Linked DNA regions of Lytechinus pictus. The protein of the gene in region 1 purifies or fractionates together with the protein of each later gene. This does not show direct contact. Links are inferred from orthologs where the notes say so. Each region holds a gene or a part of one and is shown on either strand. Other genes may lie near its edges. The genes, in order: cullin-3-like, kelch-like protein 2 and BTB/POZ domain-containing protein KCTD5-like.

What was found.
Region 2: the proteins of cullin-3-like (region 1) and kelch-like protein 2 purify together in Drosophila melanogaster (affinity purification with western blotting; 3 studies listed by BioGRID). This does not show direct contact. The link is inferred for Lytechinus pictus from reciprocal best matches to the Drosophila melanogaster genes Cul3 and kel.
Region 3: the proteins of cullin-3-like (region 1) and BTB/POZ domain-containing protein KCTD5-like purify together in Drosophila melanogaster (affinity purification with western blotting; 4 studies listed by BioGRID, with this or other methods). This does not show direct contact. The link is inferred for Lytechinus pictus from reciprocal best matches to the Drosophila melanogaster genes Cul3 and inc.

The regions. Positions count from the first base shown.
Region 1 is NC_087260.1:19,591,308-19,601,962, reverse strand, and holds the start of cullin-3-like, read left to right. Parts: upstream 1-6,652; 5' UTR 6,653-7,444; coding exon 7,445-7,510; intron 7,511-9,668; coding exon 9,669-9,866; intron 9,867-10,655.
Region 2 is NC_087262.1:4,869,936-4,880,402, forward strand, and holds the start of kelch-like protein 2, read left to right. Parts: upstream 1-6,527; coding exon 6,528-6,548; intron 6,549-6,903; coding exon 6,904-7,079; intron 7,080-9,302; coding exon 9,303-9,399; intron 9,400-10,204; coding exon 10,205-10,349; intron 10,350-10,467. Other genes in the region: uncharacterized protein LOC129265124, read right to left, coding at 1-40, 561-647. UniProt on the Drosophila melanogaster protein: Component of ring canals that regulates the flow of cytoplasm between cells. May be involved in the regulation of cytoplasm flow from nurse cells to the oocyte during oogenesis. Binds actin.
Region 3 is NC_087254.1:23,711,302-23,721,376, forward strand, and holds the start of BTB/POZ domain-containing protein KCTD5-like, read left to right. Parts: upstream 1-5,084; coding exon 5,085-5,105; intron 5,106-8,107; coding exon 8,108-8,216; intron 8,217-10,075.

The DNA.
Region 1 (10,655 bases):
ATCAGTTGATTTTTTTCTGTATTTCCTCCTTTTAATAAAATATACACTGTTAGAAATTTATCCTTAAAATAAAAAGAAGTTCCTGCAGCAGAGTCTCGAGAACACCTGTAATCTTACCAGATGCGTAATCTTACAGGAAATTGGTATTTGGTGTATGGAATCTTACAAATTTCCTTAAATAAAACACCATTTTCCCCTTTTTAAACAGACCTGTTCTGTTAAATTGCAGGAAAAAAATCCTGTTTTCTGAATTTACAGAATGATTCTGTTATTGCTTTCTGCAAAATCTTCTTTTTTCTGTAAAATCAGGTTTGTTTTTAACAGTGTAGAAAGGGGAGAAAACGAGAGAGGTTAATGATCGCTGAATACTCACTGATCATTCATGGCCCTACGGGGAAGCGGGTTTGGTGTTATTTTCTATAGGCAGCACCCCCTGGAATTCTGGTAGATGTGGCGAAATTGAAAAATGTACCGGAAATTACCTACATTTTGTTGTGAACCCCCCTCCCCCTTTTTTTTGCTTGTCCAATTCCTCGGGACCAAAATTACCTTGAATTTGCGTTGAAACCCCCTTTTTTTTTGCTGTTCAAATTCACATCAGCACCCCCTGTAAAAAGAGGGCCCAGGGATCATTCAATATAATTCCAAATACACAAAAAGAAAATGAAAGATTACGCAAAGCATAATAATAAGAGAGATAAAGGGTTTAAAGAATGATCTATATTGTTCTCATAATTGTAGGCCCTACATGGGATTTACCGATTGAAATTTTACATGTTCTAATGATTTTCAACACTGAAATTGAAATTCGATACAGCCCGAATTTGTTGCCATGGGATTTCTGATATTTAACCACTAAAGGAAGATTAATTTGATTACATTTCCGACACTTTAAAATGTTTTAAAAGACAACTTGGCCATTTCCTGGTTTGTTTTTCATTATTTTCATGAATAGTCTATCTACGTCGAGACAACCTGTTATTTTTATGGATTTCGACCCCCCCCCCTCTTCCCCCACAAAAAAACAACAAACATGCAGGCCTACAATAAAAACAAACATGTGTAATTGAAAATATATTAAAAACAAAACGGCAGACAAATGAGGAAAAAAAACATCTCGTCATTCTTGTCAGGGCACTTCAAAATTTCCTGCGAGAAAAGTATGCGCCACCTTTTTTTCCATTTTACTAAACAAGAGGTGGCGCTGGTCCAGATTTTAGGTTTTAAGAGTTGATTTCTTTAACTTGGACTTCAAAAAGAGTAAGAATTTGCCCCATTAGCGAAGAACACGCATCTGATGTGTGCATAACAAGTACTTCTTATAATGGCGACGATTCCGTGTGGATCAAAAATTTCAGTTTCGTGCTTCGCGCTCGTATTAATTTGATCTCTGTAATAGACAATTCGTTCTTTATTAAAAACGTTGAAAACGTGAATACATGTCCCGTTTTCATATTGGATAGCAAACGTTTCCAGCTGGCGCTTCGCGCTCGCATCATTTATTTAGCAAGATATTGCTTTGATTTGATTCATTTATTTATTCACGGTAAAAGCCCTATTCACCTGCTAGCCTGTTTTACAAAGGGGCAGTACAAACGAACAAAAACATAAATCTTACATTTTGACAATAAAAACATACATGATTCAAAGATTAATAAAACAGAGTGACCGACAACACAATGAACAACAAATTAGAATACAATAAATTTGAGCACATGTAAATTCAAGACAAAGAATTATAACTTTCGATTAAGTTTCAAAATTACTACGTAGTAGAAAAAAAAACCATAAAACAAGAAACTACAACAAAAATTACTTTGTAGTGTAGCTTCGGTCATGTCTGTCATTATGAAAAATAAGTTATTTGAAATGCATATCATTATTTAAAGTAAAGTATGTCAAATTAACTATAGGCTACATTGAATATAGACATAATATCATGCAATATAATAATCTAGGAAAATAAAAGAGGATTACAGAAAATTAATTTCAAGATTAATATATATTTATTTAGGAGATAAAAATAGCAATTAAATAATTGTTATATAAGGAAGTAAAAAAAAAGGAGAATAGATGACTGAGCAATAATTTCATAATTTTCTTCTTCTTCTCCTCCTCCTCCTCCTTCTTCTTCTTCTTCTTTTCCTCCTCCTCCTTCTCCTTCTTCTTCTTCTTCTTCTTCTTCTTCTTCTTTTTGACATTTTTATAACGAAAATCAAATTTTATGATAGATTTTGACAATTAAAATTCAGAAAATAATATCATATTTCACCCGTCTCTCTTTCCTTTTCTCTTTTTTTTTCGTCGTGAGAAATTTGTTGAGGTGGCAAGATCCCCCCCCCCCATATGTTCGCTTATCTACCCCACTCACATGACTCATGAAGCAAGGATTATTGGTAGATTAACGGCAGAGGTAAAAATGGCAGAGGTAAAAATGGCAGAGGTAATAATGGCAGAGGTAAAAATGGCGGAGGTAAAGATGATAAAGATAGGCTACGTCATAATAATTATCATCCTTGACCGGACTCTTGTCGACGAAATGGGCTATAAGAACTGATTAAATATTATGTTGTTTTTCGTCATTTTAAGTCTATACTTTGTCATTTATATGACTAAACTCAAGCATTTTCTTGCCAAAATGATTTCAATTAGTGACTGATGAAAGGATCTTAAGTTATAAGCAGAACATCGCTTCACATGCAAACCCAACGATTTTTTTTTAATGTAAACATCAATGTGTGCAGCCATTAACCCTCTGAAACAAACAAGTTCGGGTCTACTTCAAACTACTTTCATAATTTAAGCTGGATAACAAAAAATAATTGAACATTCTGTAATAAAAGTAATTTTCTTTATTTCCACATCATGATGGATCATGATGAATAGATATTGATGTCACTGGCGGATCCAAACAACAAAATTTTTAGGTCTTACTATTGATAACAAGCTTACGTTGAATGCTCATATCAACAATATTTGCAAAACTGTGGCAAGAAATATTGGAGTCATCAATAAGCTTAAAAACGTTCTTCCAGCACAGGCGCTATTCATGTTATATTGTGCAATAATTTTTACCATATCTTAATTATGGGATTCTGGCATGGGGTAATGCCTCTCAAACGAGACTCAATAAAGTCTTGCTACTTCAGAAAAAGTACTGAGAATAATATGCAATATGTCCTTTAGAGCTCATACGGATGAATTGTTTCGTCAGAAACGTATCCTTACAGTCAGTGACCTGTACCGCTTACAACTATTCCAATTCATGTATCAGCTAAATAGAAATAGTGTACCTAATGGCCTACAAAAGAAATTTATGAGAAACAATACTTTGCATTCATAATACGAGACAGTCAAATGACTATCACTTATACCTAAAAGTAGAACAGTATTTTCTAGCAAAACTATTTTTCACAGGACCAAAACTCTGGAATTCTCTGGACAGAGTAATAAAAGAGGCAGCTAATCTGAACCGATTTAAATTACTCATAAAAAAATTTCTTCTGAATTCTTATTGATTTAATCAAATATTTTGTGAACTTCATGCTTATCCATGCACGGTAGTGTTGATTATTTTAAAGTCAATATTTAATTTTGTATATAGTGTATAAACATTTGTGTTACAGTGTTTCTATCTATGTAAATTTATAGAATTTTGCTGATTATTTTTACTATATACTTATATCATATTACCCTTGTATACAATTTTGATAGGGGGTCTACATTTTACAAGCTTTGCTTTTTTAGTATGCCCCTCCACTTTTTTTCATTTCATTGGTATACGTTTCAATCCTGTATGTGTTATGCAGTTGATGCATCTTTTCATTGTAAAAATGATTTATTACGAAAGATACTTTGATGACTTGTGGAATATGAATATATCAATAAATAAAATGAATAAATAAATCCAGGGGGCACAGCCGGCCCGTGCCCCCCTTGAGAGGTACAATTAAAATCTTAGCAAATGTGCGGTTCTAACTCAAATGTGTCCCCCTTTTAAAGCGAGGACTTTTTTTGCTTGCTTATTATTTTTGTGGACGAATTACCTTAAGTTGTAGGTGGAAAACTGTTTTTGCGTGTCATTTTTCAGGAAAAATAATGTGCCCCCCTTGGAAAATCCTGGATCTGCCCCTGATTAATGTGATACGTATAATTAAATGTAAATGTTACAATTATTGTTCAGTCTTTAGAGCAATACCTCATTGCAGCTATAGTCCAAGTGGATGTCAGGTTCCCAAACTAGTGTATTATGGTCACTGTTACCTCATGAATTTTGAAATGTGTAGCCAATTAGGGATTTAAATTTATGGGTGTTTCTTATATATAGGTACCATTCTCTGGGGGCTGTTTGAAGAGGTAGTTTGCCCTAATGAACAATAAAAATAGCAGAAAATTGGTGAAGGCTTGAGGAAAAATCCATCAAAGATCAAGAAAGTTATTAGAAGTTTAAGTTTTAGTCTGTGACGTCATATATGGGAAACTGTCCCATGACATTTTACGCACTACAAAATGGTTCGTAATTGTTTTTAAAAAATATTTCAGGAGCGTAAGTGAAATGATTTGTCTCTTGATATATAGGCCTACTGAAGAAACAATAAAAACCATTTTGATTTTTTTTCTAGAAAATTACATTTCATTGATTTTTTTATACACCAAATATGGGAAAACTGCTCGCAAATGACGTTATCATAAAAGTATAAAAGTATAGCTTTTTAATCTTTGATGGATTTCCTAAAACCCTCACCAATATCATTTTACTATTTTCTGCTATTCTACAATGAATTTTATGTGAGGTTGGACTTCCCCTTTAATGAATTAAATACAATTGCGATCTAGAGTGTGCCTCAAATTTGAATATTAGTACAGCGATTTGACATGAGAAGGCCGTCCATGAGAGTCCAGAAAAAATAAGATATTCCAACCAAAAGATTATCAATTTGGTGCAGACGATCTATCTAGATGATTTTAAAGATGTGACCCTTTCTATTATTTTTCATTATTTATTCATTTTTTGCATGGGGGTTTAAGACGATTTTACCTAGGCCTATTCCAATATGACCTCTGCCATTTTTACCTCTGCCATTTTACCTCTGCCATTATTACCTCTGCCATTTTTATCTCTGCCACCACCTCTGCCATTTTTACCTCTGCCATTTTTACCTCAGTGTCATTTTTACACCGAGCCCGTTATAATGGGTCCTTCTCATGCAGGTGAAAGGGGCACAGAACACGTTCGTGTGGGGCACTTTCTTGCTTGGGTAAAAAGGGGGACTAATACGAAATAGGACACAAAGAAGAAGGAAGGGGCACTTGTTCACACATAAAACGGGTCCTTCAAGGGGCACACAACACATTCGTGAGGGGCACCTTTCTTGGGTAAAATGGGGGGGGGGCTGCTAGCCAACAATATCAGGGAGCACTTGCTCACACCGTTAAAACGGGTCCTTCTCAGGTAAAAAGGGCACAGAATACGTTCGTGTGGGTGCATTTTGGTAAAAATTGGCAAAGATTCGAGAAATTGCAAATTTCTGACACAATCACAAATCGGGTCCTTCTCAGGTAAAAGGGGCACATAAATCGTTTGAGAGGGGGCATTTTGCGAAATAAAATTGGCACTTATACGAGAAAGGGCAAACACCTAAAACGGGTCCTCCTCAGGTGAAAGGGGAACATGCAAACGTTCGTGAGGGGGCATTCTTCTTGCGTAAAAAAGGGCACTTTTTCAGGGCTTCAAAAAGTACGTGTGGGGGCACTGTGCCCCCCCCCGGATAGCCGCCCCTGCTTGTCAGCTAAAATGTGTAGAGTTTGTTTTCCTAATTCTTTCTTTTCCTTAATTATTGTTAGAGAATGTTGGTGTGCAAATTTAATATTATATTTGTATATGGAAAAAGTGAATAGCCGCTGCATCAGAGTGACACTTGCAAATTAGATTTATTGAAAATCAATATCCATGCAGAGTTTAACATGATTGCTTGGAAAAAAAAAGTTTCTTGGCGTGACTATGTAGACACATAATTTGTGTTAGCCATTTTTTATTCAATATTTTTTTTTCAAATCTGAATATAACTCAGTTTCGTCTTTGAGTGTTTGAAAGGATTATCACTTTAAAAATGTTTTTACTCATAATCCACGATTTACGTAAAAAAATTATATATATAATCACATTCACGGTTTATCATATATATAAAGCACAAAAATCTAAATAATCAACAAAAAATACAACCAATCACTATTTTTGTATCATTATTAGAATGTAAGGCACAGCTGAATCTTAGAGTTCTCTATAGAGTTATAAATATCTATAAGCATAACAATTTACAGTTTTCAGTGCTTTTTAATTATAACAATGACATATATTGAAGGTAGGCTACAGAGAATTACCTACCATTTGAAGTATTATATTTCACCTAAATACGTTTAAGATGAATTCGCCTTTGAATTTTTGTCGTCATATCGTTAACTGATATATATATATATTTCAGATTATTTGTTGGTATTCATTGGAACTGCCATTTGCCTGAATAATTTATCTCTGTTTTTCCCCCCTTTCCATTTCTTCTTTCTTTTGTTTTGTCATAATTCAGCAAAACATATTTTGCAGAGTAGGCCCAATGGATGGTCATGACCTATGACGTCACAACCGTGGAATACTAGAGGCGAATTGCACTTCACTGTAAAATAATATCCATTCGCTTATCGTTAGTTCTCTGAATCAAATCTGAATCTGGAGATAGAATATAACACAATCAAAAGAAAGCAATCACAGTTGGTTGAAAATATGAAAAGTTACTTGCTATTATCTTTCGAAAAGAAATGTGGGGCAAAGAATTTTGGTGGAAGAAAGTAGTTCTCCAACTGTGTACAAATCGGGTCAAGTGTTGAGGCTTCGTTCATGTGTTGAATGCTATAAATATTGTCAGAAAAGTGCGTATTTTTGCACTTTTGGCGTACTGTGAGTACCTTTTTGGAGGATATCCTGAGCCTTCGACTACACTTTATCAGTGACCCATCATGAAATTTCAAATAGATGTCCGGAGATTCGATGAAACTAGTTCAGAATAAACTACCCAGCTGAGTCACTGTTCCAAAATAGAATTCGCGAATCCACATAAAACGAAGGTGCAGCAATAGCGGAGTCCATGAAGAACAAGTCTTCGAGCTCGCCTACATCCGTAAACACAGTGAACGCAATGCAGTGAATCACCCGTGTTATGGTTGCACCAGATTCGACAAACTCTCAAAATATAACAATTATTTCATATACTCGGATGCCTCAATTGAAGTGGCATGATCCAATATGACTCCACTGAATAATTTTTCATAGGCTCTGGAAATTCTACAGAAAAGAGCCCTCAAACTGTTGCAAGTAGACTGACTTGACACTTGACTTGTCTTGTGTTTTTTTTCCTGTCATTTTTGAATTATCCAGAACAACGTCGCCAACATGAGTAACTCGATGAAAGCACCACCGCCGAAGAAAGACTCTCGAATGAGGATTCGTGCCTTTCCAGTATGTTCTGCAATTCAGATATCTAAGTTACACAGATTGTTTATCGTAGAATGTTTATTATTTTTATTAAGTCAAGAACTAAGGTGTTATTGGGATTGCAAAAACATAATTTGTGTTTGAGGGGGGGGGGGGGGCCGGGACTCAACAACAGACAACAATTACTTTAGCCTTTTAGGACTTAACATGGAATTTTTATGGAAAAAAAATGGCCTAGGATCTCTCGAGTCAGTCTAGACAACAATTGACCAACTAGACAAAGGCTAAACAGACAAAGCGTTCATGCCCAGCTGATATTTTGCGTCAATTTCTATATTATTGTTTGTCCATTTTCTAGAGTCTTAGAGTCTTACTTAGTGGAGGCAGTGTAGCTCAGTCGGTTAGAGCGCCTGTTCCGGATACTTTATATTTTTGAAGCCTTCTTTTTTGTCTTAAGATTACACTAAAAATATGAATTCAATAGTTGTAATCATCTTATATTTTGTTCTCTATAATATTTCCTCACATTTTGTACTAAAAATTGATGACACTTCGCTTGTAATTTTTTCCAAATGACTTTCTAAAATTGATCGTCCGGACACACAACCTGTCCGGACACACAACAACTGGGTATATACCTCGTCAGGTACATGTACCCAGTTGTGTGCCCGGGCGCACTCATTCTATGAACAAGGTTACGATATGGCCCGGGCGGGTCGTTTATCTGGACAAGTCGGCAATATCAAGACAGGAGTAATATTAGACGAAACAATTATTTCTGCTACTCTTTTTTTTTTGCTAGAAAACCTAGATATAAAAAAAAGAAAAGATAATAGTTTTTGCGAGACGTGAAGATTTAACTTGCGTTTGGACATTAAATTGTTTGAAAGTAATATGAGACAATTGATGCATAAACTTTCAGTCATTTCTGCTACTCCTTTTTTTTTTAAAGGAAACCCAGATATGAAAAAATAGACAGTTTTTTTGATAGATTTAACTGGTGTTTGGACATCGTTCCCCCCCCCCTCACTTCTCCTACATGTACATGTGTTCATGTTATTTGATACATGTAGATAATACATGTATATGTACATGTAAGTACAGTTTCACCAAATGTTCAAAAAAAAAAAAAAGAAATATGTGTTTTTACCAAGTTAACACCCCAACCTGTCCCAGGACCTACAGTATTGCATAACAGTTTGTATGACATTGTTGCCATTCAATGAAATCTTTGCATTTCATTGGTTCAGAGCAAATTTGTCATTAAAAAGACAGGCATGATATTTTTTCAGATTTTCTAATTTTTGATTTTTAGTTTTTTTACGTGAAATCCTTTGCCCAAGAACATTCTCATGCAGTTTTTTACTGCTTTTTCAAGTTAAATGATAAAGCTATCATGCAGACTTACCTTGAAAAATCACTATCAATTTCACTATGCAAGAGCTTGTAACCCCGACAGGGGCTTCTCGGACTCCGGCGGGGACTTAGCCACCCTTGGCTATTTTTCAGATTCTTTTTCAAGGGAAATATCATGCCTGAAATGAGTAATGCGATGATGCTTCATGATTTACTCCTAGGATGGCAAAGCTAAGTACAACAAAGCTTTAGAGAGTTCTGTTTTCATCTAATGAGAACTACAGTTTTCAACGAATTACATTTTCTTGGTGATTACAAGTACACACACATACATAGACATGTACATACATGTAGTTAAAAACAGGATCCAGGTTATGGATATTGAGTTGTTCTAGCCCAACCCCCCCCCCTTTATTTTACTTCCAAATGTAGTACGGGTAAAATTAAGAATACTAATAATTTCCACTAACTTCACTACATGTAATGCACTTTGTAGTGTTTTCTACCGTAGTTTTACTTGTGTGTTACATGCACATCTTTAGTTTGAACTAATTTTTTTAAATATTTATGTTGACCAACTAAGGTTTACATATTTGGAAAATATCCTTGGTACATGTATAAATTGTACATGTAGGCCTACATGTACATGTTGGATTTGGGTAATTGAAATGGAATGTTGATGTCATTGCATGTGAGCCTACATACAGTACATACAGTACATGTACAAGTACCCTGTTGGCTGATACGGATACGTTAAATGGGTGTATAGTAGACGTAGTGTAAAGTACAAATGAATAATGCATTTACTTCTTCCCTTTGTTTTCAGACAAACATGGATGAAAAGTATGTGTCCAGCATCTGGAACCTGCTCAAGAATGCCATCCAGGAAATACAGAGAAAAAACAACAGTGGCCTGAGCTTTGAGGAGCTCTACCGAAATGCGTACACAATGGTGCTCCATAAGCACGGCGAAAGGTTATACACGGGACTGAGGGACGTCGTCACAGAACATTTGGTAGAAAAGGTGAGTATGTACCTCGAGAAGGGACAGGTGTGGGACGGACAAGGCAGTATCACTAACTCCAGATGACGTCTGTTCAAAAGACTGACATGTCACTTATTACAGGCTCATGTGCTATTGGCCTTGTAGAACCCTCTTTGTTTTGATAACTTTATTGAAGGCCTATGTGGCTGCTGTCAATCATGTGGGCCTCTGGAAGGGCAAATTCTTTTAGAAGCTTACATGTTCAGCAGTTACAACATGAAACAGTATCACACAGTGACACACACTAATATGAGTCATTAAATGCACATTAGGTGAAAAGCTTTCCAATATGTACTTTACATTTCCTTAAATCGAAATATATTTTTAATAGTTGTTTTATTTATTTATTTATTTATTCATTCATTCATATTTTCTTTATAAAAAGCATGATATTCCCATTCAAGCCAGAGGCCTGCTTTACAAGGGAGCCCTGCCATCATATTGAAGTTTGGATTATACATGTAGTTAGTTATTTTTTGTCAATATTTTCTTTTTTAAATTCGTAATCTTAATTCAAAATCTAATATCGTTTTAGTATTTTCTACTTGCCTAAGCAGAGGAAGTGATGAAATTTGGATGGAAAAAAAGGTTGTGTGAACTCCTTGTCATCTGGGGCCCTTTCCAGAAATCAAAATCTCTCAAATGCTCACTTCCAATTAGGTTGAAAAGCAATATGTCTTGGATATGACTTGCGTTGGTTTCAAATCTTCAACTCTTTTCAAGTCACCCCTGGTATACCGGGAAGGCCTACCATTTCACAAAGCTCGT
Region 2 (10,467 bases), on another chromosome or scaffold:
TCATAGTTTGCTGGTGACCTGGCCAGTAGCTGAAGTGCTCCTAGATTTAAGAACAATAACATATTTTCTTGTTAAATTGTTGGGATTCATTTAAGAATTATTCAAAACTCTAACTTTAATGACAAGTTTACTATAAACAAATACAAATTTAAAATGTTGAGACATAAAAAAAGTTATGTTGCTCTTGACAACAGATAGTCTTGTCTGAGGCTTTTCTGCATCAAGCATGTAGCAAATAGTTTTTCCTCTGCCGATGAACATTTTTTTAATTACCGGTACATTTTCGAAGTCATTGGTACCCACACATGAAGATTCATAAATAAGATTGCTTAAAATGATTCATTTGTGAATGCAACATGTACGTCAAAGCTAATTTTGAACATGCATTTTCAATCATATGCCCAATTATCTTTGAGAGTTCTGGTTGTCTGAGACGCAAAGTAAAGAGATAGTACAATTACAGTTCGCACCTACATTTAGTGCTGTAGATTTCAACAGTGTGTATTATTATGACCTCTGCATTGAATCATAAGATAAAACAAAATTGAAAGTAGACTTACCCCTCCTTCATTTACAATCCATGACGCGGACACCAATGCGACTGCATCATCTTCGTCTTCAAATGCCACAACTGCATATTCATTCATCTGTTGAGATAAGAACAAATTATGATGAAGCAATATTTGATTACTTCTTACCTGTACTTACAGAAAAGAGCCTGCATTGCATCCCTGTACAAATACACCTGTCAATTTACTTGGTAAAACATGTATGCTTAACATCTTTGATGGAAGAAAGGTATCGGATCAAAGGTGAATAACTTTGCCCATATACATGTAGATCAAACCTGAATACATTTATGTCCCATCTAAAATTGTATTAACCTTTATTTTTTTGCTATACTACACTTTAGTACACTGTACCTCAGGTATTTGCATTGTGGTACATGGCTGAATATGGAGGAACATGATGGCTAAAAAAACCAACCTACACCCATGTACATGCAAGGTACACATCTCCACATTAGTTGAACTCTTATCAATAAAAAAACTGCACAACACAGTTTTGGTATAAAACTGAACCTATAATAAAGTCAAACACATTTTCTTTTCCCCAAATTTCAACTTCGTGAAGTTGACTGTATAATTTCTCATGTTTTTATTTACCATTCAGCAATGCAACAATGCCATGAAGATGAATGTATTTCTGTCAACATCAAACTTCAGTGCTTTCTTCTTCAGAGATTGGTGTGGAACCATCCGCATACTGGTATTGCGTTTGCTTACTTTGTGGACACCAATTATTTTGGAGTCACATGGTAAAGTGAAGGCATTTTCACTCTTTGTGTAGACTCTACACAGGAGAAGTTTGTCATCATTTTCGCTGGTCTCATTGGTTTCCTCTTCTACCTCACAACACGAAGATTCACTAAGAATATAGCAATTATCAGGTTTCTTTGTAGATACAACAGAAGCCTTAGATGTTGAAACACTTTGAAATTGTTCGCCCTCACACAATCGCTTGATTATTTGTACAACAGGTCGCTTGCCAGATCTCACTAGTTTTTTCATGTACTGAAGGTAATTCTCGAAAGGGAATGCAGCGCACAAGTTCAAGTTTCCAAATAGACGCGCTTCATCTGCCAAGTGGACCATACTGTGGACATTATATACAAGGAACTCCTGACCATACAATGCACATCCCTGGTCATTAAAGTACACCAAAAGTTCTTCCGCAAATGCATGATATTCTGCAGTAAGCCTACTGTTCACAAGAATGCATGTAGCCACACTCAGCGCCATGAAAAGGTTGTATTGGACAGATGACAATACTCCTTTAAGGCAAACTTTCCCAGTGTACAGGAGAAACTGTCGTAGCTCTGTTGCCTTCCATCGATCTATCTCGGAGAGATGACGAGGCTTTCTTTGAAAGTCATTGGTTATGGAGCCCCTTAGCCCCAGAAGTTTCTCACTAACAATTTCCACATGAACAGCGCCCAATTTATAATTGAGCAATCTTCCCTTCCCGCGCATCCAAATAAGGATCAACTTCCTCATAACACCCAGGCACGATTGGTGCATGAAGTCTACTGGGAAACACTGAATCATATCAATTGGCAACTGGCAGAAAGGTGTATCACCATTATGGTGTTCTGGAGATTGCTTGGCCCGAAATGAAGCATCTGTTCTTTTCTCCAAATTACTTGTCTCAGGGTATGTCATTCTGCCCTTCCATTCTCCTCTCTGTTCACACTTATCACATCCGTGGTATCCTGCAAACAACTTAGTACCCTTCACCATGGCTCTAGCAGGAGCATCACAGACAATGCATTTCAGGTGAACTTGGATTGCTTTCCCATCCACAAGGAGACCGTCTGCCATAACATTGCCCAAGTCTCTAATTGTGTCCTGAAGAAAATCAAGGTTTGAAGGTTTCGAAAGGCCATACGTTAATGCCACTGGAAAGACGTGCACAGGTGAAGCATTTGTAATCGAACACAATATCGGCCATAAACTCTTTGATGTGTCCTTGTGAAGTGGAATTCCGTCAATATTCAGAGCAAGATGTATAGAGTCAGCATCGTCGATGTTTGTGTTGCAGGTCTTGTATGCTTTGGACAATTGTTCATGAACTCCCAGGTATACATATTCCATTCCAGATGCAATGTCAGTCTCAACAGTCTTAGGAGTTTGGAGCAATGTACGAGCTGTAGCTGGTAAATCTGGGTGTCCATGCCTCTTTAAGATTTTTAGAAGACCATCAACTGCATTATGTTTAACTTGGTAGTCATTTGCCCATTTAGCCAACTCATTTTGTACACCGATGTGCGGCTCCTCACCCGAGTGATCTGAATGTTCGTTCTCTGACTCTGAATCAAAAGATAAAGGCGGATCATCACTATAAGAGCCAGAAGACAATGGGGTATCAGCACTACCATCTGCCAAACTATCACTCGAATCATCACCAGCAAGAATGGCATTGTCAAGTTCAATTTCCCTTTCTGGCTCAAAGAGAAGTCCTTCTGTTCCATCTTCCACTGCGAGAGCTTCTACATCACTCTCACTGCTGCTCGCTACAACATTGCGTCTATTTTTTCTCGATGCACGATGAGCCCTCATCCATCTTCTGTTGTATTCATTTTTTCCTGACCATGATGCACACATTTTTGCGATCGATCTAAAAATGAATATAACAAAGGAACATGAACTAAGCAATGAGGCAAATAAAGCATTTCCTCTATTCCACCATTGCCTTTAAAGGCTTTAAATCAGTAATTCCAGAAATATACATGTAGTTTCTTTCATTACGGCAGGTCCAACCGGTTCGAACAATTTTCCCTAAACATTCATTTACATTGTTCTTTATAAAGACTTTAAAATATTATCGTACACAATGTTTGTTTTGTTGTGAATCTCACAATTTTTCCTTTGCCTTTTTAGAGGCACCATTGTAAAGTTACAGACGTGTGCGTCACGTAACGTTGGCGAAGAACAATAGTAAACAAGACGGCAGCGTAAACATCGGGCAAGTTTCTTCCATCTTTGCATAATATTTTTCTCATTTTTTTAATGAATTCTTGTTTAAAGATAAAATCTATGGCGTAGAAATGTCGGAAATGAAGTTGTATCCCATGAACATGATTTAGGGCTAGATCTTTTTAAGTAGAAATCTCGGGGGCGAAATTTTCAGGTTTTTTGGCGGTAGACGCAGATAAATGGGAAGGAATACCTGGCTTCAATGAGAGTAAGCATACGTCAGTAAATAATTTTTACTCTCTAACTTAGAAGTACATGTAGGATGGGGGTCGGGTGTCCGGACACTTTATATTTTTGAAGCCTTCTTTTTTGTCTTTGGATTACACTAAAAATATGAATTCAATAGTTGTAATCATCTTTTATTTTGTTCTATTTAATAATTCCTAACATTTTGTACTAAACATTGATGAAACTTTGCTTGTAAATTTTTCCAAATGACTTTCTATAATTGATCGTCCGGACACACAACCTGTCCGGACACACAACAACTGGGTATAGAACTAACGTTAGAGTAGAAGCCTCCAGGCTAAGTCAAATGGAAAGTCATAACTTAACTTAAAGAGAAAATTCCAGTAGTTGCAGTAAACACTGATTTCATGAGAAAGTCTGTAAAACCAGGCTTAATTGTCAGTATATCATCGAGGATCTAGATCTGGTACAGTATAAACTGAACTTTGTGAAATCTTGAAATCTACGCTGAAAATGTTCAGACTGAACTTCCCCAACACTGATAAGCGCACGTGGGACAGTGTATAATTATTGCTTTGAGCGTCGGGCCCGACGCTCTACCCGAATCCTGTGCTTATTTGCTGATTTCTCAGTAATTAGACAATTTCTTCCAGTTCCAGAATCCTTTGGCACATGCGTTTTATTTATACAAACAGACACTTTGGTGGTCATTTCATTGGATTCTGTACGAACTCATTTTGATATCGTTACCAAAACTAGCATTTACCTTTAAAGTTAAGTGCAGCGCTGACGGTAGAACTAGAAGGAGTGGAGAGGTGAACTAGTAGTGACCATAATGCTGAATTATAGGACTTGTTTCTTGCTAAATGAAATGTCTTTACAAGTGATAGACGTTAGACTTATTAGTTCTAACGTTCCGCCTTAATTTTTTTCTCTCGTTTTTGTTTGACATGCACGTTAATCGCTATGAGTATTGCATGCAGCGATTCCTGCGCAGCATGCATGCATCATTGCATGTAACCCAGGGAGCTCCCGCCCGCTGCGCGGGCGGGAGCTCCCTGGGCCGGGTTAGCATACATGCAGACATTCATGACCACAACACAATGCACAATCCTACACTCTGATTTCAATCATGTCTTCCCACATTTTGTACGTCTCAAATTCACTCAAAAACATTTAAACACCTAACACATATCAAAATTGTAAATAATTACCTTGAAGTCTCACAGATTTGGTTGAAAGTTCAGGATTTCTTGAAAGATTGTGAAAGGCACACAATGGTTGACACACGGCATTCAACGGGAAATTCGAAAGTATATACCGCATGGGATGAGATGACGTCATCGATCAGTACAAGGCTTGCGGCCTCGTTCGATAATGTGTAAATTAGAATTCATGGTACAAACAAGTAAAAATAAAAGAATTTAAAATTACCAAAAAATGAAATTAAGCAAGGAAAATTAATAAAAAAACATGTTATTTTTAGGTTTATTTCATCGTGTATAATTATTGGCATGTTTTAAAATATAGCTATTTGATTTATTGAACTGGACGTGTAAAAACGTTTGGTAAACGTATATACAAAAAGTTTATTTTTGTAACGTCTAAAAACGTTTTGTAAACGTCCAATATCGAACGTTCTGCAAAAGGCCTACACTAAACGTTCTGTAAACGTTCTATACAAAACGTTCAATTTTGTAACGTCCACAGAACGTTTTTAAAACGTCCTAAAAAAACTCAACTTTGACGTAATATGAAGTCCAACCTTAAAACGTTTTAAAAACGTTTTCAAAACGTTCATTTAGGACAAAGACGTACAGGACATAAAAAAAACGTTTTCAAAACGTTCTGAAAACGTTCTTTGTTTGCTGGGACAGTACATAGGATCAAATATAAACTTCTCATATTAACATTCAAATGGATTCATGGTATATTGCCCCTGCTTATCTTCAAGAACTTGTCCAAATTCATAACCCAAGCATAATCTCCGTTCTGGCTCTCAAAATCTTCTCTCCGAAATTACTGTCAAGACCAAATCATATGGGGATCGGGCTTTCCTAAAAGCTGCACCAGCACAATGGAATTCTCTACCACCGACATTACGAAATATTACCCAGCTTGAGAAATTCAAAGTACAATTAAAAACCCACCTCTTTCAGAATGTTTAACTGAGTCACATGTAGGTCCAATCCATGTTTAATATTCTTTGATGTTATGTATAAGTATTTGATGTCTAAATTTTAAATTTACAATTCTAACCTCATTTCTTGCTTTCCTCGCGCATAGAGACCTGTAGGTGTTATGTGTATTTAAGAACTGTACTATTATTATTATTATAGTGAATATACACATGTAGTCTTACTATTGCAGACTCTGCATTATGCAAATTGCGAAAACCAACGGTCTGTGCCTGCAGACTAGTGGTCATAAGGAGTGTTGAAAGAAAATATATGCAATCAATTGCAAATTTCAGTTGCAAATTTACAAGTGGTGGATCATTTTTAACTTTGGCAAATAAAATCATAGTTGTTGGTACAGGATCAGATCAGCGGTCAATTGCAATTTTGCAAAAAAATTAATTGCAAAACTTCTGATTGATTTTGGGGCCTGAAAATTAATTGACTTGCAATCGATCGCAAGTTTCTTGCAACACTCCATTAACAACTTTTGAGTTGACCACTTCATTTTCTGGTGCAGAAATATGAACTACATGTACCTGTGGTTTCAATGTTGTATCTACATTGTAGGAAAAACCTTGCCTTGTACTAATGTTAATATAACACACCAGTCTGATATTGGATAATGGCAGGGCAAGCACTACATGTACGTTCTAGATTTTTTCTTTTACCAGTGACAAAACTTATATTTTTTCATATCACTTTGAGACAATTTCTTTGATGTAGTTTCAATCTCATGATGGGGGGGGGGGGGTTCACAAAGATTTAAGTATGACTTACAATCGCACTTAAACACTCACTGATGCATATATGTTATATAACGCGCAATCTTATTGATTAGTACGCAGTAGTGTGCGTCCTCTTGGCAAGATCTGACCAATGCGGTACCGGTACTGCCTTTTTAATGCACGCAACTGGGCATTTATTAAGTGCGATTCATAATCTTTGTGAAACACCCCCCAGAAATATTAACAAACATCCTTACGTTTTTCACACTGCAGACATTGCTGCCTGCTGCCAGTTTACTGCAGCTGAATGACGTACGAGACGCATGCTGTGACTTCCTACAGAAGCAACTCCATCCTACGAACTGTCTTGGTATCAGAGCGTTTGCCGACGTGCACTCGTGTAGCGAACTTTATCACTATGCCCAGAATTATACCATGCAGCATTTCAGGTATGCTCCTGTTCTTATCCATGCAAGAAAAACCGCTGTTTTGACATTAATCATAATAGAATAGATATATTCCTATAATTATAATGGAATAGATATATTCCTATCTGATGTTTGAGCACACAAATCCAAATTTGACTCGTTTGAAGAATATTGTGTTTTGGACTCTGAAGAAAACATATTTTGGATTTTAGAAAACAGAAAACTGGTGACTTTAATCAATCACAACAGTTAATAGTATGCCACAATTGAAAACTACATGTATACTATATGGATTTCATGCCATGCCATTAAACAAGATCTAAAGAGGTTTTGCTTCAGTTTATATTTCTGTATCATCCTGCATATTTTGTGTGTGATCGTTGTAACTTGGATAGCTGTATTTCAAGTACATAGAGCACTTTTAAATGTGTTTGAACTATACAAATGTCAGATTATTATTATTCCATTAAATTATCCTTTTTGTATGTCTGACTTCCATTTTTGTCCATTCTCATTTCACTTCCTGAACTGCCCAAACCATGACAATTTGGGAGCATTACGGAAAATCACGGAAAACGTATTTTCCCTCAAAATAAACAGAATAGCAACAGAAGTTACTCCAAAATCACAACAAAATGAGAATATTAAATGGCCACAAAACCCCAGAAAACACGATCTCACTTGGCTACTATCATGACAATTCACACATCGTGACTGCACTCGACATCAGCACACTCGATTGTACCCCGTACCCGGCTGGCCGGCCGGGTTGGGCTTCACATGCACACATATCGTTCAACTACACGGTCGTGTGTTGCTGCCCTCTACGTTTGAAGATGTAACAGCACGATATCATGGTCTTAAAATCCAAGATGGCGGATTGGCAAAAGCCGTTGACTGATGATAACGATGTCCAAAAAACCCAAAAATTATCGATGAAATGTCATTTCACCGTGAAATAATGCTAATAAAGTGAAAGGTGAGGATATATGCATGCTAAATGGGTTTGTAAAAATATTTTATGCACCCGCATAGATCCGATTAGAACGGATTCTATTGTGTTGTTGGTATACAGTAGCAGATACAAATTTTGACCAGTGCGAGTGTACATGTTGTGATTTTGCTATTCAATGTGTAAACGGAATTGTCACTTTTCCGTGTGTACAAAGTCTATGGGGAAACGGAATTTCCGTTTTCTGACATGCTGAAACGGAATTTAAGATTTTCTGAAACGGAAAAGGCAATTTTTTGAAACGGAAAATCACTGTCCCTAGACATACTGTACTTCTTGGAATTGCCCTATTAGTATTATTAGATGCAGCTCTGTTTGATATAAAGCATACCATGCTACATATGTTTGAACCATGAAGTTTAATACCCCTTTCATACTGCCCTCTTCATTTTTAACCGGCGGACTTCTCTGCCTTGCATTCCTCACTTCCCCGGCAAAGAAAAAAATTTACCCTTTCGCACTGACATTTCTTCTCTGGCGAAAGTCAACGGGCGATTGGCCTCATTCGGCATTTCTGCGGCACCACGATTATTTATTTCCTTTAATTGTGGAGATCTTACTTGTTAGTAAAGTTGTCAAGATGATGGCTAGATCTAGTAAACAGTGTCAGTATTCCCTTGATTTAGTCAGTGCTCGGCACGTGCAGAACAAACGAAAGAAAATTGTAAACATTTCTTATTACCTATTACAAAAAGGTATTAAAAAAAAATTAATTACAACATATTTTGGAAGTATTACGAGAAAAACAAACAATATCACTATGTTTTTATATTTTAGCGCATTTTATACATGTAAAAAGTGCTTTTTGATAAATATTGTTAGTAAAAAAAAATTATGTTCGAGGGTATCTACTTGGCCATAGCATTCAGCTGAGCTTGCAACTATCGCGCGTGGAATCTTGGTACAGGGGACTTCGGGAGAGAAAAAAAATTGACCTCTGACGTCATTAAAGAGGAGAAGTTCTCCGGTTTGCTTTCATACTGGCCTTTTCACCGGCGAACTTCGCCGGTGAAACAGTTTCGCCAGCGAAGTTCTCCACCTCTAGAGGTGGAGAAGTTCGCCGGCGAACTTCACCGGGGAAGTTCTCCTGTGTACCTTTCATACTGGACACTTTCCCCTTTGCTGGCAAACTTTGCCGGTGAAAAGTGCAATATGAAAGGGGTATAAAATGGAATTTCCTTGACATTTCATGTCTGTTGAAGATATTGTTATATTTCTGTTTTGATGTACAGTGCGGTTGTCCATAGCGATGAGTTCTTTGCACTCCCTGCTGCTCAAGTCTGTGAATTGATAAGCAGCGATCACCTGACAGTTCATTCCGAAGAAGAGGTAAGATATCACGTGATATCAGATCAAACCTGTTGCAGAAAGAGTTTTTTTTTTTTAAATCAAACATACATTCCAACTGTCCATTCCTCATTGGTTGAAAGTGGTCACCTGACAAATCATTCAGAAGGAGAAGCAAGAGGTCACATGATATCAGACCAAACCTGTTGCAGAAAGAGTTCAGTTTAAACTCAATTGAAGAAAAATAATCAAACTTTTAAAAGTCACAAATGCCTGCTTCTGATTGGTTGAATATCGTGTGATCACCTGACAGTTTATTCAGAAGAAGAGGTAAGAGGTCACATGATTTTAGACCCAGGCCTGGTACACGTGACAAAACATTATGACTGATTATACCATAGAGTTGATTTGTATGCTTAATTCAATATAATGAACTTTGCTATCAAGTGCTATTAAAATCAGCCTTATGATCAAATGCTAAGATTCGTATTATGGGTCCCAAATCTGCAACCATTCTGAATTGATTAAAGAATCTAAATTTAATAAAAAATGATAATAATACATGAGATTTGTATAGCGCACTTTCCATCTTGATTAGATGCTCAAGGCGCTTCAGAGCAGAACAACAAAAAGTATTTACATGTAATACATGTCTGAACAATAAGTCAATGTCTATCAAAAACACTCTTATACAGGTATGTTTGGACCATTCCTAGGTCTTTTCCTGATATGTATTGTCTATTTTATTGATAATGTGCGTAATACACTCCTCCTTGTATGTTATATCCTTTTCTGTCTGTTCAACCATTTCACATTGAAGATTTATTGCATTTTCTTTTGTTGTTAGGTATTTGAAGCCGTGGTATCGTGGGTAAAGCAGGATCCTAGTAACCGTAGCGACTACATGCCTCAGCTGGTTGAACATGTCAGATTACCCCTCCTCTCAAGGGACTACCTCATCCAACGGGTCGAGGAGGAACAGCTCATAAAAGGTATCTCGTCTGATTCTAATTTTCCACAGGGAGTGTTGAATGTGCGTACATTGCAGGCGGGCAAGCCTCACCGAGTCTGATGACCAGAGTAACAATATTCATATGAAGTATTGACAAT
Region 3 (10,075 bases), on another chromosome or scaffold:
AATAAAGTCACTGTTCTTTTCAGCAGGCAGCAGTATGTCTTTTACATTACTATTCTTACAAGAAGAAGCCCTTGTTCTCTTCATTGTTGTTTCTTAATAGTTTCTTTGTACATTATTACATTATCTTCTTTTCTTATCGGTATTCTATTTCTACAGGTACATGTAGTATTATCTTTGTAACCTTCTTTAAAATTTGTTTTAGATTGATGGTTGATGTATGCTTAATTTGTGTATGCAGCTGTACAGTATGTGTCATGAATGAAGCACTCATCCAATATACAAGGTTATGATATTGTTCTCTGTTACGTAGTACTTAGGACTCCCTATGTGGTGAAATTGGCAATGTTTGGCTTTATAGTATATATGTATTTTTACTTGTTCATGGGGATAAATGCTTGATTTCTTTTTACACTGTCAGTTTCCATTTAAAGCTTTTCTCCATATACAATACATGTAACGTGGCTCTAAAGTAAATTGAATTCTTTTGATATTTTTTTTTCTCAGTAAAAAAGAGATATTGTTGGGGACAATTCAGACCAACTTCACTTCCCATCAGTAGAGGGCCCACACAAAAATGTGCTCAAAATAAAACATTTATAGTGCTCTGGTGAATAAGAAAAATTGATACCAAAGTTAATTATAGCATTAAAAATAAGAAAAATCTTAACTGTATGAAACTGTATAAAACTTTTTGATTTTTTTTTTTTTGGGGGGGAGTTAGTTACAAAAGTGATATTTCAAAGATTTTTTGATTTTTTTTAAATATGTATTGTATGTTGCATACATGTAGATCCGTAGATTCTCCACAGGCAATGTGGTTGCACTGAGCAAAGTCCTGCATTGCATTGTATTGCATTGTCAAGTCCATCCCAGGAGAATGTTCATTTGAATAAATAGAGAAAAATCAAACTAGCATAATGCTGAAAATTTGATCATAATCGGATGTAAAATAAGAAAGTTATGGCATTTTAAAGTTTCGCTTATTTTTCATAAAACAGTTATATGCACAACGTAGTGACATGAAAATGAGAGAGTCGATGATGTCACTCACTCACTATTTCTTTTGTTTTTATTGTCTGAATTATACCATTTTTCATTTTTTACAGATTTTACAAGGGCCAACTTGATTGACCCATGTAGTATTAAAATAATGTTAATTCCACATGTTTAGGGAGGAATTAATCTCTGTTTCACTTGACAATGAGGTGAAAATAAGAATATTCAGTATTTCATGTAATAAAATACAAAAGAAATACTGAGTGGATGATGTCATCAGTCTCTTCATTTGCATATCGACAAGGATGTGTATATAACTGTTTTGTGAAATTAAGCGAAACTTTAAAATATCATAACTTTCTTATTTTACATCCGATTTTGATGAAATTTTCAGTGCTATGCTCATTGGATTTTTCTCTTTTTGTTCAAATCGACTTTTTGTTAGGGTGGACTTGTCCTTTTAATATTAAGGTACTGTTACATATAGACAGATCAATTAATTGTAGTATTGGCCTGCAGTGATTTTTGAGGGGGGGGGGGGGGTTGGGGTATTATAATTTTTGTCTCACCTGCATAGCAGAGTGAGACTATAGGCGCCGCTTTTCCGACGGCGACGGCGGCGGCGACGGCGACGGCGGCGGCGGCGTCAACACCAAATCTTAACCTGAGGTTAAGTTTTTGAAATGACAGCATAACTTAGAAAGTATATGGACCTAGTTCATGAAACTTGGCCATAAGGTTAATCAAGTATTACTAAACATCCTGCCTGAGTTTCATGTCACATGACCAAGGTCAAAGGTCATTTAGGGTCAATGAACTTAGACCATGTTGGGGGAATCAACATCAAAATCTTAACCTAAGGTTAAGTTTTTGAAATGTCATCATAACTTAGAAAATATATGGACCTAGTTCATGAAACTTATACATAAGGTTAATCAAGTATCACTGAACATCCTGCATGAGTTTCACGTCACATGACCAAGGTCAAAGGTCATTTAGGGTCAATGAACTTTGGCCGAATTGGGGGTATCTGTTGAATTACCATCATAACTTTAAAAGTTTATGGATCTGATTCATGAAACTTGGACATAATAGTAATCAAGTATTACTGAACATCCTGTGCAAGTTTCAGGTCACATGATCAAGGTCAAAGGTCATTTAGGGTCAATGAACTTTGGCCAAATTGGGGTATTTGTTGAATTACAGCCATAAATTTGAAAGTGTGTTGGTCTAGTTCATAAAACTTGGACATAATAGTAATCAAGTATCACTGAACATCCTGTGCGAGTTTCAGGTCACATGATCAAGGTCAAAGGTCATGTAAGGTCAAAGAACTTTGGCCACGTTGGGGGTATTTGTTGAATTGCCATCATATCTCTATAAGTGTATTGGTCTAGTTCATAAAACGTGGAAATAAGAGTAACCAAGTATCACTGAACATCTTGTGCGAGTTATAGTAGTTTTAAAAATCAGCACTGCTGCTATATTGAATCGCGTGATGCAGGTGAGACGGCCAGAGGCATTCCACTTGTTATTGAATTGTAATTATTATTGTTATTGATGTTACTAGTTTGTGAATTGAATTTGTTGTAAAGTTGATTGTGAATTGATATAGGTATTGCAATTGAAATTGTTATCATCACTCATGTGCAAATTAGAATTTAATGGTAATTCAGGCTGCAAATAATCTTGAAGAGCTTGCTAACCATAGACAGATGCAACAAAACGGGAAAGTCTGACTTGAGAGAGATTATAGACTAGAATAAAGGAATAGTAGGAAGGACAGTAATGCTATAAATAAATAATAATCAAAAAGGCAATTTTTGGTGCTAAATTCGTTCACAATTTCATTTCAGTAAAACTGAGCGAGACAAAACAAAATAAAAAATAGGATTCAAACATGAATCGTTTGAATTGAGAGAAGCCGTCAGTTCAAAGTATGATGGGGAATCAATATCATTGTATTCAATTGATCTATTCAGGGATCATTTCCAGGTTAAGAAATTTTGTGATTTTTTTGAGCAACTTGTCCAACATCGCCTTGCGTTTGGGTGACTTTAGAGGTACATGTAAAATGAGACACATTTCTGAACTCGGAAAGAAATACATGCACAACGAAAATCCTTCCCTAATTAATTTATCCGTGACCAATTCCAAAGCGGAAAATGGGTCTCAGGAGATCATGAAGACTATGCCATGTCAATTGCCGTTTTCGCTACGTTCTCAGTACGCTGTACATAGCAGTCCTAATGCACCATGGCTATTTTTCTTTGATGCAGCAAGAACTGCATGGAGTTCTAGCATTGGTGTAATGGGGGTATGCTAGCCTACTAGGGCTGTGGAACAGAACATTACATTATTTCCACCTGCTGGAAGAGGAAATATATATTTCATAATTCATTCTTCAAACCAACTTAAATAATATGATTTGATTCATACATGCAGGCATAGTGGCATACATCTTCATTTCCCAACAATCATTGACAATATACCACTGAACTACACAAGAATGGATATTGCTCTGCCTAATGGTGTACTTTATCTGGTGGAAGGGTATGTGGTCACACTCGGCTGCTGAAAATCAATAAGTTACTGATGTTATGTAATCAGTGGTGCTTGTTAGGGCTTTTTATTATTGATCTTTAGTTATTTTTGTCTTTTATTGCATTTTCACACTAGTGGAAGACTATCTCTGTGGTTTCTGTACAGTCTATGGTTTTGATTGAAGAGGAACTTGCAGAAGGGGGGAATCAAAGCTGCAAATATTGTTCATCACTTTAATAGAGTTGTGTTCTCATGCTTTTTTTCCATAATATGTGTATTCATATTTTTGCTAATAATCAGAAAGCATATACGGTCACATTTCATAAGTTGGGTATGCAAAGAGGGTGGCGGATGAACAATTTTCCACACGGTGCCATGGATAAATTGTTGTACATCACATCATCTTGACCAAATATATTGAGTAAGATCTCATTTTGAAGCTAGAACTTTAGGCTAAATATATTACTATAAATTAGATCAATACAATATCAGGAATAAAAACTATAGCACATTGATTTTGAAGTAATGGTTGGCAGGACCGGTGGATGCGGTGAATGATAGAATGTTAATCAAACTTAATTAACAACTTAATATAATATGTAATATGACATCAGCCTCATTTCTTGGCAGTTTAAAAGCAGGGAACAACTAAATGTTATCAAATTTGACATTTTTAAAATATGCAGGAATGAAATACATGTGTGTGTCAGCTCTGATCTGCAACCTAATCAATTAAGAAATTTGGTTAATTATCTAATTTTTAAACTTGATTTTTAGCACAAAAGTTGTGTATCATTTCAACAAACATTTCTACCCATGATGTAGTCATTTTGCCAAGCATAAAACAGTGACAGGCATTTTTGGGGCAAAAATGTGAAATTAGATATTGTTAATTAATTATTGTAATTAATATGCATACAATGACAGATGATTATTTGATTTTTGTTACAGATTTATTTATCGATGTTAAAAGATTAAACTGCAAAACTACTAGGGTGATCCAATGTGGCATTAACTTTTGACACCATTTTATGTGCAGCAGGTCCAATTTGAGAAATCGCATTTCAAAATTCAAATTTACATTGACATCTATGATGTAATAATTAGCTGTTAATTAGTCATTTTAAGGGGGAAAAAAGGTATTTGAGACTTAAAACTTTTTCATTATTTACAGAATGATATATCAAAAAATATTTTTTGGGGCAATTTTTACCCTGTTTGCTAAATTGGACCACCTTATGACATGCGGCCACATTCAACATGTTTGAATATTTTAAAGGGGGAGTGAACTGTGTGTGGCCTCTCATTGACTATGTGTTATTAATGCATAGTCTTATACATTTTCAGATATCTACTACTGTACATGTATAAACACTATAGAGAATAAATTGACCTATGATTGTATTTTAATAGAGAAACTAAAATGTTTTGAAAGGAAAAGTAATTGTTTTGCTACTTGGTAACATAAATATTACGGTATAAATGTATTGAGTAGTTAATGAGCAGGTTATCATTCAAATGGGTCTATATTACAAGACTACATTATGGGTCAGGAAACTGGCCAGGTATGAATAGTTGAGGACTCCAGATGGTGCTATTGGTTCCTGTCTGCTTCAAATGCAATTGTTGATGCCTTAAATTTTTTATTTTTTCATCTGGGTCTAGTTTCATAGAGACTTGTTATAATACATGTAAGAAACGCACAATTTCTATTACAAATGTAATACATGTATATCACCCAATCAGATTGGAGGATTTCAGAAGCTTTTAACTGTAATTGCAAATTTGTCATTATCTGCCCTGACCAGTTTGACCCAGGGCTGACTAAGACCTGTTCCTACACTGTGCATGAATATGCCTCAGTTATTGACGTATTCTAAAGTGTACATGCATATAAACGGCAATTACATTGGTAAAATGGTTACCAATGTTCATCAGTAATATTCCATAATATTGCAGTAAGATACTATCTAAAGCAGCCATTCTCAATTACTTTTTTTGAAGCGCCACATTTCATGTTGAGAATCTGTAATGCTCCACTGTCCATTGCGCAAACCAGCAATGTATCAGCGGAGGATGTTCAGAGGCCCCTGGTGGGGGTCGAGGGGGCAGAGCCCCCAGACGTTTTGGAATATGAGGCCTTTTAAATTGCCCAGAGGGGCTCTAATTAATATCAACAGAAGAAATACAAATGCCAACAAACTACACAATATCAATAAAAAATATAAAAAAAGACCAGTGACTTTTTCCCAACATACCAATGATACCACTAGTTCAGACTGTTCTGCCCCAGATATATTGGCTGAAGCAAGTGGCGTAATGAGTAAAAAAAAAATGAGGGGGCTAGATATTGCAGCTGAAGCAAAAATATTGAACTTTGCAATACAAATATCTATATTTTGACATAATATTAAGAAAATAATACAATATTCCACTCTTTCCCTTTCCTTTTCTTTCCCTTTCTCCTTTTTTTTCTTGGCTATGAAACACTTGGGGGCCCCCAATCGCCACACCCCCATCTGTACGCCAGTGGTTGAAGCTACGTTCCCCGATTTTGCAAGGGCTGAAAATTAGGCGTTGCACTGCACTAACGCCCCAACTGCCCCTCTCTCTCTATAACTCACGTGCAGTATCATTCATTCAGTTCATGTTAAAGGAGAATGAAACTCTTGGAGCAAGTTAGCTTTTGTGAAAGCAGAAAAATCAAAGAATAAGATCAACAAAACTTTGAGTAAAATAGGACTAGCAATAAAAGAGTTATGAGCATTTGAATGTCGAGATCACTAATGCTATGGAGATCCTCCCATTGGCAATGCGACCAAGATCTGTGATGTCACACACGTACAACTCTCCCATTCGGACACTGAAAATATACCCCAAAACATCTCTTTTTGCTCATTCTAATCATATGACAAACGATTCATCAATGATATAATGTTGTGAAACCTCTGTACTTGTCATCTCATAAAGAAAACACCTAACCTTGTGATAGACTCGAATAAAAGTGAGAATATAAGTGAAATAAGTACTAAAGTAATGAGGGAGTTGTACGTGTGTGATATCACAGATCTTGGTCGCATTGCCGATGGGAGGATCTACATGGCACTAGTGATCTCAATATTCAAATGCTCATAACTTTCTTATTATTCTTTCAATCTTCCTCAAACTTTCAACAATATGTTTCTTTGATTTTTCTCTTTGATATGGATTCAGCTAGTTTCAAGGGTTTCATTCTCCTTTAAGCAAGAGTGTATGCAGGCAATCACGGCAGACAATGCATCTGAGCATACATTTATTTCACTTTTATAACATCGGATTTTAATCGGCTTCGAAAACAAAGTTTCTGCTTGTTATGTCCCAAATTCATAATCTTTTATGATCAGGATGTTCTTTGAATATCATATCATTTGATGTTTAACTCTTAACCAAAACGAATACTCTGGAAATGCAAAATTTCTCGCCGTTGAAATAGAAATCCTACAAACGGGGTTTTCAAATCACTTGTGCGGCACAAAAACTTTGTACAGCGTAGAATAAATAAAAAGGAGAACACCATCGATCCTCCATAATAGGAGTTATCAAGTGCTAAATTGGACAAAATTTGAGGAAATCAATTAGCAATTAAGTGTCAAGTAAAGAGTTTTTGTTTTCTCTTTGTATTAAAATGATCACCAAAACCTTATTGCCATGTTACTGGTAGATACATTTTTTCTCCCTTATTTTTCCTTTATTTTTTATACCGGCTCCCAAGCGCCACTCCGCAAGGCTCGGTGCGCCACAAGTGGCGCGCGCGCCACCTATTGAGAACCCCTGATCTAAAGGGTAATAGTCTACAGTACATGTAGTACTACAGTATGAACAATAGGCCTATAATATTTCCTTGACACGCAGATCAAATTGTGGCATGTCTTGAAATGAGGGAGATTTGACATTGATGTGATATCTTTTGAATGCTATCCTGCAGTAAACCTTATTCCATGCAATGTGTGCTTCATTCGTTTAGAAATTAAGTTGATAATGTGAATACACCCATTTTGAAAGAGTTTTGCCATGAATTGGAAACAACTGATGATGAATGCATGTTTAGGATGGCCCATAAATATTACATTTGACCTTTCGTACTGTATTGTAAAAGTTATACATGTACACAATGTCTATGAGTATGAGATGATAGCTTCATGCATATTATTGGGGCCTACTGAAAGAACCATCTCGCAAATTATAACAAATAATTCAAATTTACGACTTATTCCTTTCTTGGGTTATTGTTGCAGAATTGTATACATGTAGGGATATGTTTATGCAGGACTTCAATATATTCTTTAAAGTCCAAGCCCAACCCAATGTCAAGTCAAACAAGCATGCTATTGCTGCTATTTTGATTTAATTTGGGATGTACATGTACATGTAAAACAGGGGAATGCATTTTGAAATACATGTATCATTTAAGTTTCATTTTGATGCCTGTGTACATGTACATGCACAACAAAAAATGACTATGTCTATGGTTAGCAAGATTCAAGATTATTTGACTTTGCTTTTTCTTTTTTTTTCCCTCTTTATGTAGGATGAAACTGGTGCCTATTTGATAGACCGAGATCCCATGTACTTCGGACCTGTATTAAATTATCTTAGACATGGAAAATTAGTTATCAATAAAGACTTAGCAGAAGAAGGTAAATGAACATTTAAGTATTGGTGTGTTTTAACAGAATTATTATTTACATGTATCTAGTTGGCCATTTGGTAAATTGCCAGTTCGTCCACTGCCAACTCGTCCACTCATTACATGTACATGGGGTCAGATGCATAAAAAGTAGCAATTGCTGGCAAACAATCGCTTCAACCACAAGCAATAGCTAGCCAAGCAAAAGATCATGCTTCAGCAATTGCTTTATTTCATATGCATAACCCTTTGCTAGTGCTTGAACACTTTTCTTGCCTTCAGAAAGCAATTGCTAGTGGTTTGAACAATAATGACGTCACGCTCGGGCGAACACGACTCACAGAAAAGGCAGGACTCCAACGCGAAGGTGTGGCAGTGCAAATTACTGCTTCTTTCATATAACATCTTTTCCTCAGACGTGGTGTCAAACTAACTTGTTTCTTTTTGATATTTATATTTGTCATTTTATTTGCACTTAAATGTATTAGGAAGAAAATGTACGTGTAGGCTACGGTACACCTTGGGGTTCTCTCACAGGTGCATAAACATGATTAAAAAACGTGAACGCCTGATCAAGCAAACGCTCCAGCTGCTCTGACAGAGCTTGAAGAAACCAAGCAAGTGCTTAAATGCACAAGCAAAATGTTCGCTTTCTGCATACCGTTACGCTTTTTAGCAATACCCGGTAGCTTTATTGTCAAGGAAATGCTAGCAGTCAGTTAGCGATTGCTTGAACTTTAATACTAGTATAAGCATTTGCTCGCTTATTTTTATGCATATGGAATCAAGCAGAAGCCTAGAAAAAGCAATTGCTACTTTTTGTGCATCTGACCCATGGTCTACCTTCATTTAAACTAATGCCTTTCCGTCCAACATTTCGTCTACCAACTATTTTGTCAAATCATCACTTGGTCTAATTCACCAGTTGGTTTTTTGACCATATTGTCTAAGAACCAGTTGGTCTGATACTTGTTTTATTTTCATTCATTTTGCCCAATTAACACTCAGTCTAATTAGACCAAATGGTATATGGACTAAATGGCTATTTGACCAACTGGTTATTAGATGAAATGGTGACTGGATGAAATGGCAATTAGACCATGTGGATATTGGACAAACTGATGGTAGACCAAATGATAGTAGACAAGTTAGCAATTGGACAAATTGGCATTGGACCAAATGAAAATAAACCAGCCACTTGAATGGGCACTATATAGCCGCTGGTTTACATGTACTGCCCCAGCAATTGTTTCCAGTGGTGGGTGCATTCAGGAATTCTACCATGTAACCATTCCAATCACCTGGGTTGCTGTGCACAGCACAATTTAGATGAATTTCTTGTTCATACCATGGCTGGGACATTTAAACCCTCAACATTTTGAGTCAGACCTTGACATCCCCTTCAAGTACCAAGAAATCATGTTATATATATATATTATTTAAAGAATATTGAAATCATTAATACATACATGTACAGTGTATGCATCATAAATTCTCACTACCTGCTGTTTGGCCATCAGCCTAGAATACCAATTACCTATCAGACCATCATAATATTAATAGGAACCCATTTCTGGTTTACCAAATACCAATAGCAATGCCCATTATACTTTCTATTTCATTTTTAAAAGTGACACACTTCACTAATTACCATTTGTACAGTTAACTTGCCTCATTGGTACATGTAGGTAATAATATACGAGGCAGACTTACAAATGAACCCCATTATTATGCCTCATGGGGTTTAGATGAAATTAATCTTTTAAATTGATGATGATCGAAAACCAGCAAGTTGAAAGGCAAATGCACAGTACTAATGGCATGTTTTACATGAAGCCCTACTAAATGTTGTGACATTTGACCCATCCA